Canis lupus familiaris: one gene and its partners. The protein of the gene in region 3 interacts with the protein of the main gene of each other region in a biochemical or structural test. Links are inferred from orthologs where the notes say so. Each region holds a gene or a part of one and is shown on either strand. Other genes may lie near its edges.

Region 1 (4,353 bases), on a different chromosome or scaffold from region 3:
AATAAATAAAAAATTTTAAAAAAAGCTGCATAGACTTCGCGAGCCAAAATTAATTTAACTACTGGAGCAGATCACGTCCATCGTGCAGTAATTTATTGCACTCGTCCTGCAAGGCCCCACCTGCTTGTGCTTAAGACTTCCCAGAAGGCTGTTACATGTTTCATCTTTTCTGGGTGTTGATCCCTCACCTAGGAAACTCTAAAAGATAAGTCAGGCAGGTGGGTCCCCAGGTTGGCCATCACATGTCAGGGAATCAGCTGTACTGCTTAAACTCAAACTTCCGATCCTTTAAGATTAATGATGCACCAGCACCACCACGTGGGGAGTGACACCCTTCTTTCCTCCCCTGGAAGATCCACCTCAGGGTCTCCTGGGTGGTTCAGTGGCTGAGCATGTGCCTTTGGCTCAGGTCTTGATCCCGGGGTCCTGGGATCGAGTCCTGTATCAGGCTCCCCGCAGGGAACCTGCCTGTCTCTCTCTGTCTCTCATGAATAAATAAAAAAATAAAAATAATAAAAAAAGAACTACCTCGGACGTGGAGATACATAATTACTACAGCTGCCCAAGGGCGCCGCCCAGTGCTGGGGCCCAAGCTGAAATGACTCAGCTGTATTTCATAAACCACATAATGGGGCTGCCGGACTTGCCTTGTCCGGGCTCCTAGGTCCTTTCAATGACTGTGAGTCTTGTTGAAATCTTACAGCTGGAAAGCTCCCGGGCGGGCCTGACCGAAGCCAGATCGTTCTAGAGGGAGCAGGGCCACCGCGAGGCCTGCGGGGCTGAAGGTAGAGGCGCTCCCCACCGGACCCTGGTATTTGGTGCAGGGGTCAGGTCGGGCCACCGGACAGTCTCACCCCCAACCTCCGAGGGTCCGGGTCTGACTTCACGACAGGGATGCTCTGGCAGCCCGCCCCGTCCTGGACCCGGGTCTTGCGCTCATCTACACGGCTACAGTGACCACCCGGATCAGGGGCAAAGTCATGTAGACTCAGTGTTTCACAAATAAAGATGCCCTAGCAAGTGACTGCTCAGCATTCCCCACACCCGGTTTAGATTCCCACCGCCGCCCCCTCATTCTGTGAGTATTCACTTTTGTGCTCAAGGCCTTTCCGAGTAATACCCCTGTGACGTGTCCAACTGTTTATTCCGGTCCCTTGGAAGATACGAAGGGCTGTGCGTAATGCGCAGGCCGATTAGTTATGCAACTGGGGCAGTCAATCCGGCCTGGAAGACTACAAGTTCCAGAGTGCATCCTTCCGCTAACGTAGAGAAAAGCCGATTGAGGGAGCATGGCCTTCTGGGAATTGTAGTCTTCAGCTTGTTTGTGATGCAGGCGAAACGGGAGGGGGAGTGAGTAAACTATTACCACGTGACGCTCGAGATCAGGTGGTTGGACCAGGCTCCGCACAAGAGCTGTGATTGGCTGGCTCTAATACGAACGACGCCACTAGGGGCGGGCCGTGGAGGGGCGCAGGCGCACTGCGTTGAGAGTCTCGGGACCCTTTTCCGAGAGACTATGGCGCTCAACAAGAACCACTCGGAGGGCGGCGGAGTGATCGTCAACAACACCGAGAGGTGAAAACACGGCGGAAGGATCCTGGAAAAACGATGGGGGGGGGGGCGTGGGCGGTGGGCGGCCGGGGATGAACCGGTGAAGGTAAACCGACGGGGTGCGGGGGGGGGGTTAACGGCTGGAGGCGGGGCCGGAGGCCGAGGGTGGGTCGGCGGAGCGGCTGGGACGTCGCGGTTAGCTGTGGGCTGGCGCGGGGGGGCGGCGGCTGGGCAGACAGGTGGGCCCCGGGGTCGCTCTTGAGCCCCTTTCCCAGAGTCGATGACTTCACGGGGTGGGAAGAGCCTTAGACAAAAATAATTGCTACTTACTGAGTGTTTACTACGTTCCTACGCGCCAGGCTGTGCTCTTCTGCCTTAACGTGTAAGTGCGGCGCAGCGCTTAGATCATGCTGGTCTGCACGTTTTACATGCAGGGAAACTGAGGCACGGAGAGGTTAGGTGACTTGCCAGAGATCACAGGGCTGTATATGACACAGACGGGATTCCAGGAAAGGCGTCTTTAAAGTCAAAAGGCCGGCAGCCCCGCTGGCTCAGCGGTTTAGCGCCACCTTCAGCCCGGGGCGTGATCCTGGGGTCCGGGGATCGAGTCTCCCATCCAGCCTGCTTCTCCCTCTGCCTGTGTCTCTGCCTCTCTCTCTCTTTGTGTCTCTCATGAAAAATCTTAATTCTGTTTAAATAAAGTCAAAAGGCTTGACTACCAGTACATAGCCTTCTGGTATATTCCAGAACTGCCGAGTTTCCAGATGAGAGACTGAGGCCCAGAGGTGCAGTTAGATAGATAATGTTTGTCAAATGGCGAACACATTTCCTGGCACAATGTCTGTCCTTGCGTCTTTCTCTCCAGTGCCTGTTGACTTGGATCACTTCCCTGAGCAGAGGTCTCCCCGCCTCTCTCCATACCCCTCACCCCCTCCCTCACCTTCCCCCGCCCCCCGCCCGTCAGTTCTGTCCTCTTTGCTCTGGTCTCTGAACTTCTCTGTGGCTTCTCTCTTGCTCCTTGGGCACCGGGAATTAGACCATCCAGCCTCGGTTCAGCTAGGCTGACGCTGAAATTCTCTTTAAGGCGGGAGGTGCTTACGAGGAGTCTGAGTCCCTGGAAGAGACTTCAGTGGGATCAGAGCCTTGTAGGCTGCCAGGGCCAGCACCCAGGAATGCTTGATGAGTCAGGAGAAAGCCAGGGGTGCCCCGGGCTTCAGAGTGCTGACGTTCCCTCCATCGTCCCTGCTCAGGGTCTGCCAGCCCAGCCTGTTCCTGGTAATGAGCTGTTTTTCTCTGAGCTGTACCTCTTAACTATATTTGTTTTTAAGATTTATTTGTTTTAGGGACACCTGGGTGGCTCAGTCAGTTAAGCATCTGCATTGGGCTCAGGTCATGATCCAGGGTCCTGGGATCAAGGCCGGATCAGGTTCCCTGTTCAGCAGGGAGCCTGCTTCTCCTTCTCCCTCTCCCTCTGCCTGCTGCTCCACCTATTTATGGGCGCTCTCTCTGTCAAGGTTTATTTATTTTTTTTATTTTTATTTTTTAATTTTTATTTATTTATGATAGGCACACAGTGAGAGAGAGAGAGGCAGAGACACAGGCAGAGGGAGAAGCAGGCTCCATGCACCGGGAGCCTGACGTGGGATTCGATCCCGGGTCTCCAGGATCGCGCCCCGGGCCAAAGGCAGGCGCTAAACCGCTGCGCCACCCAGGGATCCCCGGTTTATTTATTTTAGAGAGAGTCCGTGCAAGCGCAGGGGGAGGATCAGACGGGGAGAGAAAGAGAGAAGCCACAAGCAGACTCAGGGCTGAGCTCAGAGTCCCATGAGAACCCTGAGATCATGACCTGAGCAGAGACTGAGGGTCCGCCACTTAACCAACTGAGCCACCTTGGTGCCCCTCTGAGCTGTACTTCTCTTCCCTGGTACCAGTCCTCTTTCCCACTTACCCTCCCCAGTGAAGAAAGTTGTGATATTTGGGAGGAGGAAGACAAATGGAACCATGTGAACTTGGACTCTGTTATCTTCTAATCAGAGAAACCTCACATTGTTCCCATTTTGTAGTCTCTCTTGAGTGCAAGCCAGTCCTAGGCCTGGAAAAACACTTCGATGCCATTTGGTAACATCTCCTGGGACTATTTTTCTTTCTTTCTCAGTGGGACTTTGTGGGACAAGAATGTATCTGTCCTGGTGGACCTCCTACCTGGCTTCGGGCTCTGTGCTGCTAAATAATGGTGTGCCTTGTTTTAGAAAATGTTTCCGCCTTGTTTCTGGAAAAAATTGTATGGCAGTTGAAGTTTAAATTAGCGTTTAAAATTTCATGTGTAAGATAGTCTTACTTTTCAAGTGATGAATCCCTTTGAGAGTGATGAAAGCCGCAGATTCTTCCAGAAAAACGCACGTACACCATCATTTCATGGACTCCCACCCATGTAGACCCAGTTCAGGAAGCCCCGGTTTAAAGAGGTGTGAAATGAGCCCTTTGGTAATGTGTAGAGTCCTGTCTTAGAGGGTTTATGGGTCAGTACTAATAAGCCAATGAAAACAGACACACATTATAGGGACTCAGAAGAAAATGGGAGAGTCAACCCAGGTAATCTAACCTGATTTGAGGGATTATGGTGTTAATGGCTTTAAAGCCCTCCGCCTCGGCTCTTCTGCTGTTGTCCCTTGAGAGGAGGGGGTATATGTGGGGCTTGGGGAAATTCTGAGGACCCCGCCTTGCTCATCTATTTCGAGGATGTATTAATAGTTTCCTTGCAGCAACGTCAAAACAACTTTGAGACACGACGTGCTAGACACC
Region 2 (3,560 bases), on a different chromosome or scaffold from region 3:
TGTAAGGCCATTCAGATATGCTCTGACTACATCCCTGCAATAAGCAGTTGATTACAGTGTGATATGCAATTGCACTCTTTTTATTAGGAGACTTTAACCTCATAAAAAAACATGTTCCCTCCTTCCTTTCCTATCTCCCATTTCAAGGACTTTCAAAGAAGAAAAAAACTAGTTAAAATGCTTCAATTTTATTTCCATTCCCATTAGTCAAAATTCAGGTAAAAGCCCAATTTCAATGTTTCTTTCTCTAATAGAATATTAATTCTATAACTGGCTATTTTAGTATTTCTATATGGAATATTTTCTTGGCCATCATGTGCATTTTGAAAACTTTAGACGGAGTTTACTATATATACTTAATGGTTGTTTAACTGTAAATATAATGCCTACTTTGAGCTGCTTATGTAGGATCTTGCGTTTCATATAATCACTTTGTCTATATCTAAAAACTTCAGGCCAAAACCATCCATTCATTTTAATACATGAGCTGTCTTTTCTTTAAAAGCAGTTTCTCAGAAAGTCCTGGAATCTACCACTGTCACCAGCACTATTTAGATTTTAATAAGTAGTGTTTATCACTGAGATATCAAGTAATACTTCCTTACATGCATACAAAATGTCTGCAGCCATATTCCTCCTAGTGTTCTATCTCAGCACTGACCTTTGTTCAAAGGCTTTTACTTTTTAATGCAGCAGTTAGAGATAACTACTTCATTTATCAAAACTCAATTTCCATAGTAACATCTAGCCTGGGGAGATTCAAGTCCTCACACTAATCCAACAACCCATTCAAAGGAACTGTTGAATACTTTGGTTTCCATAGCAATGATGGAATAAAACATTTTGCTAGGTCATTGCTTTTATTAGCAAACTTATTCTTTGAACTTTAGGTAAGGCTGAATTTACTGAGAGAGAAAAAAACACAATCATTTTGTGTAAGTTCTTTCCTTTAGGGCTGGTCTTTTAAGAAAATCCCAAATAGTAACCATCTATATATTTTGAAAATATTTTGGGTGTTTGGGAGCTTTTTAAGCATGCCATGTGGTTTTGTCCTAAAATGGTTTCAAATATATATTTTTAAAATTAAAAAGCATTTAAAAGTGAATGTACAGACCTGACAAAATAAACATTTGTAAAATTAAAGTGACTCTACCTAAAAGCACATTCTAAACAAAGATGAAATGTAAACTAGAATGAAGATAGTCTCAAATACGTCAAAATCTGGGCTGGCACAGGGTATAGAGTAACTTTTAAACCACAACCCCATCTTTGCCTGATTTAATACTCTGCAATTTCGTCCCTACCTTTCATCAGCCACATAAAACATGCTAAATAGAGATGTTAGGTTAAAGGTAAAATTAAAGATAATGTATTAAGCAGTCATGCTTTACATGCTAAATGGAAAAGTTTTAGCATTTAATATACCTTACAGCAGCCAAGGGATTTGTTATGGAAGGAAAAAAATGAGTTACATTTTTATATTCCTTCAAGATAGGAATTGCAGTGCCATTAAAGTTTTAAAATCCATTAGTAAACATTGTTGTTTACGTTTTTGGGTAATTCATTCTATGTGAGGTGACAGGGCAAGGCCTTGGTAAGGGAACATCAGCCTTCCTGGAACCAGACTTTTTCGTTGAACTGCATTTTGAGCCAAGCCAGTGCTGAAAAGGTAGGCCATTAAAAAATAAAGGTTGACAGAAGAAAGAAGAGATCAAACACGTGTTGGCTTTTAAAAGGATGAATACCACTTACACTATTTACACAACTCACAGAATTAACAAGAAAATTACATACCAGTATGAGTCCTCAGGTGAGCTTTTAAATGAGAAGACTTTGTATAAACTTTTGTGCAGCCTGAAATAATGGAGAGGAAGAACAGCTTGTCATTTTGGAGATCCTTTTGAAATCTTTACATTTGATGATTCAGTGTTTAAAATCTGGCTCTAAAGAAGAAATCTCTCATGCTAGTGAGATATTTATTTGAAGCGTCAGTTTTAAAGACTGCTCCCCTGTTACCTTATTAAAGGTATAAAGTGATTTACTTTATGTACCACTTTAGCAGAAAAAGCAGATAAACAAGCTACAAATGGAAAATGTATGTTTATATTCCAGTAGGTGCTTTATACTAGTAACATACTTCAGTGATTTAAAAACTTTTAATGGCTCTCGAGCTGACAGTGTTAAACCATTATCCAAGATGACTGCAATTTTCTGTGCTACTACATTTGTTTTTTCATTTAGTATATCACGCTGTATCAATTACATCCTGTATTAATCATAAACTAGCTTATGCCAGCAGCTTGTAGACTAAGTCATCACCATCATCAATTTAGATTTTGAGCCGCATCTCACTGAAGAATGAACATATGTTCATACGCCATCACAACTATCCTTAAATCTATTCTGTACACAGTCTTGTAACCCACCATCATGAAAGCAGCCTACTCAATCCCCATTTCATTACCACACCTTATTTTCCCTACCTTACCTTATCTCTTTTCAGGGCACTCAATTTAGAATTAAGACGCCAATTTAGGTGTTTAAGTAACTCTGACATAACTCAAAATTTGAATTTACATGCTACATTAAAAATAAAGAAGTCCAAGGTAACTTTTTTCCAGTATATTCTAGCCATTTTTTAAATACATACAACCATAATAGACAAACACAAAGTTATATCCCAGGGTACAGTACAGAGACTGAGATATGAAAAGGACAAAGTGGGTGATTTTTTTCATTGTCAAGTACCACTTTCCTATGCAAACTGAAAACCTGGTTTAAAAAGGTATGTGCACACACACACAGACACTAAATACAGGTACTGATGCTTTAACCGGGTTATATCACGTACCAGGGTAATCGCAGTAGTGGATGCGTCGTTTCTCCAAATCGGGGTTACTCCTTCTATTGTATCTGACAGGCTGGATGCTTTGTGAATTAACTGGCAGGGTGGCAGGTAAATTTGGATTGTGAATTGCCAGTTTGGAAGCAATTGTAGCAGCATAGGATGGAGGTGGGGTCAAATTCTGGAGCATCTCTGCTTGTCTATCTGGACTTCCCGGCTCTGAGCTTGGTGGTGACGGGGGAAAGTAAGTGGCCTGCTGTGGAAGAAACTGACTTGGCATTGTGTATGTGCAAGGGGGCATGCCCTGGAACTGTTTCATTGCAGTCTGCGGAACAGCAGAGGTGTGTGTGTTAAGGCCCGCCATGGCGGCGGACATAGAGACATTAAGAGTGTCCATCACTGCTGTCTGGTTTGTAGAACTGGGCATATCTAGATCCGGTGTGTTCAGCAGCTGGTACAGGTGGCCCTGCTGGGGAGGGACAGAAAGATGAAGATCTGGTGTAGGAAGTTCTTGTTTGATGAAAATATTGTTCACCTCTGGAGCTGCGGTCTGGTGTGAGCTGAATATACTGGTGAACTCGGGGAGGGCCTGGGTCGGGGCCGGAGGAGGGGCTGTCGTTTCACTCTGGTGGCTGAAAATGGTAACAGGTTCTGTCTTGATGTGTGTTACGCACGGTCTCTGGGATTTGTAGAGGCCAGTTCTCAGGTGAGTGAT
Region 3 (4,195 bases):
TTAACCTCTTAGGCTAGTCTGTTATATAATAGCAAATAACAGTACCAATTCTTGGTAAACTGTAAACCACAACACAAAGTAGAGATATTGTATTTAAGTGTATATAAAGTAAGTCTCTACAGTAGGGGTTATCAGTAAATGGAAGAATTTGAAAATTCTATGGTTTTAAAAAGCCTCCAGTAATCCTGAGAGCTGCTCCTAGCCCAACCTACTGACCCTTCCATAGGTGAGCTTCAGGTGAGTTCATGGACTTCCCTAAAATTATATACAGAAAGCACAGGTGCATATGGAAATTTTCCATGCCAGATTTTTTTTAGTTTCACCAAGGATTAGCAATCACCAAAAGGCTAATAATTACTGCTGTAAAGTAACATACATCTGCCGAAGATAAAGCTTCCATGGATACTGTTCAAAATGGTACCATTATTTTCCCAACCTGGGTCAGAATCTGTTATTTTTACTTTCTTCATTTTTTTCTCTGACCATCAAATTCTGTCCTTTCCATTCCTAATATTCCAGCCTTAGTTCAGACCCTCATTACCTATGACCACAGCAATCAAGGTCTTTCTACCTCCAGATTTCTACTTCAATTCACAGTACACGTTGCTGCTAAATTAATCCTCTGAAAACAGTATTTTAAGCTTTTCATTCGCAACTCAAAAAATCATCTGTAAAACCCCTCAAACCTATTATATCCAAGATCATTAGCCCAGCCTTAAAAGCAATCATAAACCGGTTCAAACTTTTACTTCGTTTTATCAGCCTTTATGTTAGTACAAATACTTTATGTTCCACCCAAATATAATTGTTTCCCTCTCCCCAAACATATGAACTCTGTGCTCTAATTTCTTAGTCCCTTTTCTCTGCTTGGATTACTTTTCTTGGTTTATCAAAAGTCTCAGTCACCCTTCAAAACAAAGATTTCAAAAGCCAGAAGCTCTATGGATTAACCCTCCTTACCTCACCTTGCCAAGTAAGATGTGAGCTCTTCCTCTTCTGAATTTGAATTCTATATGAAACGTAAGGATGTATTAAAAGATAAAGGAGGCATTTGTGATAGTCCTACCTGCCTAACTATTCTGGGAAGGCAGAAACTGCTGTACTCCATATTACTCCATCTACCTCACACAATCATGCAGGAGATGCTTAATAATTGTGCAAGGAAGTGAAGGAAATTTCAGCCTTCCTGGGGCAAAAAGCAAAGATCACTATCTCTCTGAAGGCAGAGAACTTATTTGTGACATCCTCTATCATACCAGGATTCTAAAAAACATAACCCCACTGCCCTTTAAGTCTTGGCGTTAGATGTCTTATAAACAGTTCTGTATTTTAAGGGAAAAGCTACGTGAAAACATCAATAAGCTACATACCAAGTAACTATTCTACATACTTTTTACACTTCTCAGTGTGAGTAGCTCCCAACACTCGGCCAGGAATTTTTCAGTTCAAAAAATATTAACTGTTTACGAGAAGTGATAATTTGCAGTCCCAACTAGTATCTACCTTACAGCCAAAGCAAAGTCACGTAAGAGAATGCCTTTATTTTTATTTTTTAAAGGTGCATTTTGCTTGTATCATCCACAGAGCCTTAGGAGACAGGTCAACTGGATTCCTACAGAAGGATGAGTGCTTGCAGAAACCCGCATACATTGTACAGCAGGTACTTCAGGTTAAAAAAAAAAAAAAAAAAACACCAAAGGGGGAGAAAAAGAGAACTTTGGACATTATTTTCCACTCTGACCAGTAGCTTTTTAAAGCCGAAACTCAAAATCTTTTTTTTTTTTTTTTTGCACAGTAGCCTACACACACACAAAAAAGATAAAAACTCACCAAGCAGAAAAAGTCACACCAAGCCCCTGGAAAATATTTTATCCTGGAAGAGTAAGAATGTCAAAATAAAAGACACTCGTCTTGGGTAGGAAAGGTTTCCCTGTAATTACGGAAGCAAAGGACGCTCAACTAACTCCAGACGATGGAGTCAAGGAAGGACTGAGGATCCTTCGGAGGTTGTAAAAAAAACAAAAAAACAAAAAAACAAAACAAAAAAAAACAATGGACAAACTACAAAATTAAAACCTTTTTTTTTTTTTTTTTTAAAGATGAAAGGAGAAGGTCCAGGTCACTGAGGAGATAAGGAGTAAAAACTGCAAGGTCACTGGGACCTACCAGGTCACACAAAGGTGGAGGTGGGGGTTGTGTTGGGGTGTGTGTGTGGGGGGGGGGGGGGACTGCAGAGTCAGGGAAGAACCCGGAGGGATCAAAACACGTCAGGAAAATAAAAACGCCTTTTTGTACGGCCGGGAGTCTTGCGGTGAAAGTCAGGGCAGCGGTGCAAGTCCACGCGCGGGGATGGCTTCGGAGGGGCGCTGCGGGGGGAGGACGAGGAGGCGGACGGAACGCTGAGGGGAGGCTGAGGGAGCCTCAGGACGGCGGCTGCAGAGTCACGGAGACCCTGGGCTCCTCCGGGATCCTCAGCTCGGGCCTGCGCCGGGGCCAACGCGGGGCAAGCCCCGTGACCCCACCCCAGAAAACTCCGGGGCCCCCGGGCCGGGGGGGGCGGCCGGCGCGGCGCGGACGGTCGGCGGCCGCCCCTCAGAGGCTCCGGCCCGGGGGCCGCCGCGCCCGCCCCCCCGCGCCCCCCGCCCCCCGCCCCCCGCCGCGGCGTCCTTACCCGGCGCAAAGCCGTCGGCTCCCGGCGGTCGGGCGGCCACTCCAGCGGCGGGGCGCCCTCACCCTTCCGCGCCCAAGATCGCCATCTCGCAGCAGGCGCGGCGGCGGCGGCGGCGGCGGCGGCGGCGGCGGCGGCAGCCACCCAGGCGTCGGCCCCGGCAGCCCAGGCCGCCTGCAGCCACTTGGAACCCGCTCGCCGCGCCGCGCTCGGCGACACCCGACCCTCCCCCCACCCCCACCCCGGCCGCGCGCCGCCCCCGGCAGACCCCACACCTCCCGCCTCAGGAGCGCGCCGCGTGCTCGCGTCACCGGCGCCGCGCCGCGAGCGCGCGCCTGCGCCGCGGCCGCCTCAGAGCCCCCCTCCCCCCACGCCGGGACCCGGAACCCGGGCTTCCCGCGAGCATGCGCAGCGAGGGCGCCCCCGCGAGGATGCTTTCGGAAAACTCCGCTCCTCCGGGGCTGCGGAGCGCGCTCGAGGAGAGCCGAGGGCCAGCCAATGGGAGGAGGGGGGCGGGGCCCAAACCTGTGGAGGGGGCGGGGCCACCGCTGAGATTTGGGAAGAGGCCTCTGAGCGCGAGGTGGCTGCTGCTGACCTGGCTTCCCCGTCCGTCCGGGACTGGGACAGCGCGGGTGAGCGACCTCGGGTCAGGGCCCCCGGCGCTGGCCTTCTCATCTCGAGTGCTTTACTGCAAAAGTAGGCTGTTTTTAATAAATACTCCTTGACCTGAGCATCTGACCTAGAACCCCACTGCAAGAGTAAATCCTGCATTTGACAGGTGGCCACAGAAGACTTCCACTTTACTCTCATTAGTCACCAAAACGTTCGCCCCCATAACGCTACGGTGATAAAACTGGTACTGAGCAGGCACAGGTGTCGGTGCAGCAAATTCGCACGGTGCCGCCATGAAAAAGAGTACATTCTCCCCATTTATAAAAACGAGTTAACTAAGTCTCTAGAAGTTCTGTTGGTTCTGTGCGTTGCTTTTAGAAGACCGCCCTGCAAATAGAAGTCATTGGTGACCACATTACTCACCAGATGACTGGTCTTCTACTTCAGAAATGAGAAAGGCCATCAAGCATGGGTTTCTACAATTTTGGCCCACCCGCCTCACCCACGCCCCATAAATTACCTACATCCACACCCGAGCCTATTGGTTTTCCTTCTGACTCCAAGGCTGGGTGTCTGCTTCTCTCCAAAGAGGACCTCGTTACTGTCCATTCCCTCCTGTGCCCCCTCAGCATGATGATGTTTTAATTATGTTCTGTCCTAAATTTCTCCTCGGCTTTAAAACCTCTCTCTAGTTCTCCCTCTTTTTCCATCCTAATTAAGCTCTTGAAAAAGCTATGTACCAAGAAGAGCATCAACGCCCCGTGAAGAATTGTAAGATTAAATAATAACTCTGATTGAAGGAATGTACCTTCTCTTCCTCTCCCTTCCATTAGTTTCTACACTCCGAATTGATACCAGGGCCCAACGCACACCATATCCACTACGATTATTCTAAAATACACACGTGAGCGTGTC
Region 4 (4,145 bases), on a different chromosome or scaffold from region 3:
GCTGCTTACCCAGGACACCACCCTCCCGTTGAAGCAGGGAAGGCGGGCGTTGTCATCTGAAATCTCCTCCTTCACCACCCTGCCAGGAGGGACAACACAAGAACCAGTGAGATCGCCCTAGCGCCCCCCACACGCACCCCGACTCGAGGCTTCTCATCTTCGTCCAGCTCAAGGACGATGACTTTCATGCAGCCGGCCAGGCCCTCTTCCCCAACACCGAGACACTTCACTCTCATGCCCCGGGAGTCTCCAAATTCACTCACCCCCTTTCCTTCCTCCTCCTCCTCTCCCCAGCTCATCCTCGGCTTTCAATGCTGGTCCAAAGATTTCCTATGCTGGTCCAAAGATTTCCTAGAGTCTGAGTCAAACCTCATTCTCCAATCTCAACGACCGTCCCACTCCCTCAGGTGACCCCAACTGCCCCAAAGATCTCTAACCTTTGGTGTCTCTAACAGCCCAGAATGACCCCAAACCTCCCTGAGCCCTACCCCGCTCCTCAAGGCACCGTCCCCAAACCCTCCAAAGTCTCTATTCTCATGCTTTCTTGGTTTTCTCTGAGTCATGTCCAAAGCCCTAGCCCAACATGCTACCTTTCCCCCACGAAAATATACCCATGAGACCCAAGGATGACACCTACTGGCTAGGCTGAGCACTCCCAAGGAGAGGTGAAGCCCACCTTCCCCTTCCCCCGGGGCTCATCTGGCACAAAATTCTACACTGAGCAACCTGTTCTGCCTGACGGACCTCAAAGCCCAGCCTTGGGGTCATTCCTCCCCTGGGTTCCTTGGGATGGACAGGACTTTGCCCCTTCTTCTCAACCACCACGTGGGATCACCACAGCCTATTCTTTTTTTTTCTTTTTTCTTTTTTTTTTTTTTTAATTTTTATTTATTTATGATAGTCACAGAGAGAGAGAGAGAGAGAGGCAGAGACATAGGCAGAGGGAGAAGCAGGCTCCATGCACCGGGAGCCTGATGTGGGATTCGATCCCGGGTCTCCAGGATCGCGCCCTGGGCCAAAGGCAGGCGCCAAACCGCTGCGCCACCCAGGGATCCCACCACAGCCTATTCTGTTCAACACTGCATCCTGGCCACACAGCAAAGACCCTGATGGTGGTAAAGTGAATGTTAATAAATATCTGTTCAATACTGTTAACGAGTATACTTGTTGAACAAGTATCTCATGAACAAACACGAGCTCTGAGAGACTGAGTATTGAACAGAAGGTCTCTCTCATACTCACATCCTCACCTCCAAATTAGGACAGCCTGTCTGATTAACCCTTTACCCTAATATGGTTCTAGGAGCCTGGATGCGTGACAACTTAATCCCACTTGTTATCGATAGGGCCACTCAGCCCAATCCCTACCACTGCTCTGTCTCGATATAATGCTGGATTCTTAGAGATGTAACCCAGTCCCGGCGGAGCCCAGCCCGGCAAATGATTCCACTCTCTATCACCATAACCCCGTTTACAGATTAGCTGAGCTCGACGCTAGCGATCATCACAACTCGCTAAAAAATTACTGTGCATCGCTTACCTATACGAAGTTTCTTGTGCCAACTGTGTCTATCTCCTGGGTCATATCATTGCTAACAAACAGGAATTTCGATCTAAATCAAAGGTAACTCCCAACACAGTCCCACCTTCCTCACGGCCAACGGTCTTTCTCAGTAGAAGCCAGTCCATTCAGCTATCCCAGAACATGGGCTGTCTCAGGCCAATCCAGCCTGCCTTCAAGAGCTGAGGCTGGCTACCTGGAGAACTCAGCCTCAAAAACCATAAGCAAATTTATTATTAAGAATCCAAGTCTGGCCCAGAATGACTCCAAACACTCCAGAATAGCCATATTGGGCTATTTTAGCAATGACCTACAACGTCTCCACACGCAGCCGTCCATACCAATATAGACCAGATTATCCCAATACAGCTGTCTGCACTGGCATAGCCTCAAAAACCTTGTCTGCCTCTCTACAGAGCGTCCCCATGAAACACTTGACCCCAACAGAAACTTAAGATCAACCAACACAACCCAGAAGAGACAGAAGAGCAGGAAATTCTTCCGAGAGAGCCTGGTAATCTGCTCCAAAGCAGCCTAGAACATCCCAACACACCCTTTTCTGCACCAGAACAGGCCAGATGTCCCCAAACAATCTTATCTGCTCTAGGATGGTCTAGAATGCCCTAAAGCACCCCAACACGGCCCAATCATCGGGAGATTCCACAATACTGCCCGTGGGCCGCAGGACTGCTCGAAAGGCATCGGATTACCCAGAATAACTCCCAAATAAACCAGTGTGCCCCATTCTATTCCAGGACAGCCTAATCTTTCCTGATCTGGTTCGGCACGGCCCGGTGTGTCGTCCTGGAGCTCCGTGCGTCTCGATTTGTCCAAGCGTAACCTTACCCAACCTGGGATGCCCAATCTAACCCCCGCATAATGCCCTGTCCAGCACTCCAGCCCAGAAAAACCCAGCGTGGCCTAGGGCCGACCTGTGCCCCTCAGCAGTGGCCGATCCACCGCCGCGCAGCCCCCACCGGTTCCAGCCTAGGCCTCGCGCTCACCCGAAATCCTGATCCATAGACTTGAAAAAGTACTTAGCGCCCGCGGGCCGCTGCAGGACGCTCTTGAAATCACCGAGGGTGATGCGCTCCGCCGGAACCGGGATCTTCACCAGGTAGGGAGTCTCCTCCTCATCCAGGTGGTAAATCACCTTCGTCTCCCCGACGCCGCCGCCCCCCGCGCCGCTGCCCGCCATGGTCTCGCCCGCGCGCTCCCAGGTCCCGCCGCCCACCCAACCGGGCGAAGCGCCCCCACCGCGCCTGCGCACACCCGCACCCCGCCGCGCGAGCGCGGACACGATCAGCCGGGCGCCGGAAAGGCGCGGCGGGAAGGCGGCGGGGATCAGCGGGGTGGCGGCCGACGGAAGGGAAGGGGGCGGGCCGGAGGGCTCGACCCGATGCCGCAGACTCGGCCGCCGTCGCCGCCGCCACCGCGCGCCACCGCCGCCGACGTCGCGGGCGCCCTGCAGCACCCCGCCCACCTCTCCCCATGTCACGTGGTCCGCGGCGGCCCGCCCTCCGTCACGTGACTCCACCGACCACGTGACCTACAGGCTCCGCCCAGTGCCAGCGCCACGTGATCATTGCTTTCAGCAACGGTCTCCTAGCCCTCGACGGCCCCGCCCCCAAATGTGTCCCCACCCGCGTCCTCCGAGCACCCCGGCGGAGGCCGGCACTGGCCTTCGGGGGGCCTGGCCACCGGTACCCATCCCGTTTGGCCCCACTCGGGCGGAGAGCTCCAAACAACGCTGATTCCCTGGAGCGTGCGTGTTGGGAGATAGGATGGGGGTCCTGGGCTGGGGTGCCCGGTGGAAGCAAGCCGACTGAGGGCCAGGCTGGGGGCGGGGGTCTGGGGAGCTGGGGGGTGGGGGCGCGCAGAGCCGGGTGGTTTTCTGCTCTGGAGGTGGGCTTCAGCCCCCCGCGCCTTCTGCTTTTCCACCGCGCCCCCACCCAAGCAGGACAGTCAGGGAGGGCTATAAACACAAAAGAGCCCACTCTGCTTTATTTACAACACGCAGGCTGTCTGTACAAACAGCTGGCCAATATTATTAAAAACAAAAGAGGTGAGCGAACATATCGTCACCTGTTTTCCTTCCTCCCTTGGCCAGACCCTGGTTGGTACTCCACCTCCGAGCTGCCCTGCCCAAAAGGGGAAGTCCAAAATTAAAAATACAACCGGTGTAGAATAAATGGGGAGATAAAAGAAAAGATGAAGAAGGGGAGTGCTCTATTTACACTAGAGTTTTATAGCCAGCTGTCCCATTCCACCCCAATTCCAACCCTGGCCCAGAAAGCGAAGGGTGGCAGGTCTAAGGAACAGAAATTATGTGTCTAGGGACCAGCCTCTCACCCCCAACTGCAGCAGGTCCATATTCAAGTCCACAAGGCGGGAAGGAAAGATAAGGTTGGAACGTGAGACACTCCTTTCCAAACCAGCCTCCAGTGGGAATTCCTGCCTCCCAGTGGGACAATACCCAAGCTCCAGGGGGACGGGCCGAAGACCCGGAGGCTCAGCTCCCAAGTCATGCTGTCACATGGAAGTCCCAGCCTAGGCACGGCGATGTCAGGGCTCTCCAGACTTG

What was found.
Region 1: of the proteins of WWP1 (region 3) and WBP2, one has a biochemical effect on the other in vitro, tested with the Homo sapiens proteins (2 studies listed by BioGRID, with this or other methods). The link is inferred for Canis lupus familiaris from reciprocal best matches to the Homo sapiens genes WWP1 and WBP2.
Region 2: of the proteins of WWP1 (region 3) and KLF5, one has a biochemical effect on the other in vitro, tested with the Homo sapiens proteins (4 studies listed by BioGRID, with this or other methods). The link is inferred for Canis lupus familiaris from reciprocal best matches to the Homo sapiens genes WWP1 and KLF5.
Region 4: the proteins of WWP1 (region 3) and DVL2 form a complex in vitro, tested with the Homo sapiens proteins (2 studies listed by BioGRID, with this or other methods). The link is inferred for Canis lupus familiaris from reciprocal best matches to the Homo sapiens genes WWP1 and DVL2.

Annotation. Positions count from the first base shown.
Region 1 is NC_049230.1:5,622,736-5,627,088, forward strand, and holds the start of WBP2 (WW domain-binding protein 2), read left to right. Parts: upstream 1-1,509; 5' UTR 1,510-1,516; coding exon 1,517-1,575; intron 1,576-1,616; exon of another isoform or gene 1,617-1,657; intron 1,658-1,801; exon of another isoform or gene 1,802-1,933; intron 1,934-4,353. UniProt on the Homo sapiens protein: Acts as a transcriptional coactivator of estrogen and progesterone receptors (ESR1 and PGR) upon hormone activation. In presence of estrogen, binds to ESR1-responsive promoters. Synergizes with YAP1 to enhance PGR activity.
Region 2 is NC_049243.1:27,275,562-27,279,121, reverse strand, and holds part of KLF5 (Krueppel-like factor 5), read right to left. Parts: coding exon 2,852-3,560; intron 1,855-2,851; coding exon 1,795-1,854; intron 1-1,794. UniProt on the Homo sapiens protein: Transcription factor that binds to GC box promoter elements. Activates the transcription of these genes.
Region 3 is NC_049250.1:33,146,137-33,150,331, reverse strand, and holds the start of WWP1 (NEDD4-like E3 ubiquitin-protein ligase WWP1), read right to left. Parts: upstream 2,801-4,195; 5' UTR 2,672-2,800; intron 1-2,671. UniProt on the Homo sapiens protein: E3 ubiquitin-protein ligase which accepts ubiquitin from an E2 ubiquitin-conjugating enzyme in the form of a thioester and then directly transfers the ubiquitin to targeted substrates.
Region 4 is NC_049226.1:32,405,990-32,410,134, forward strand, and holds the start of DVL2 (segment polarity protein dishevelled homolog DVL-2), read right to left. Parts: upstream 2,803-4,145; 5' UTR 2,760-2,802; coding exon 2,566-2,759; intron 2,478-2,565; exon of another isoform or gene 1,541-2,477; intron 865-1,540; exon of another isoform or gene 264-864; intron 80-263; coding exon 10-79; intron 1-9. Other genes in the region: PHF23 (PHD finger protein 23), read right to left, coding at 4,127-4,145.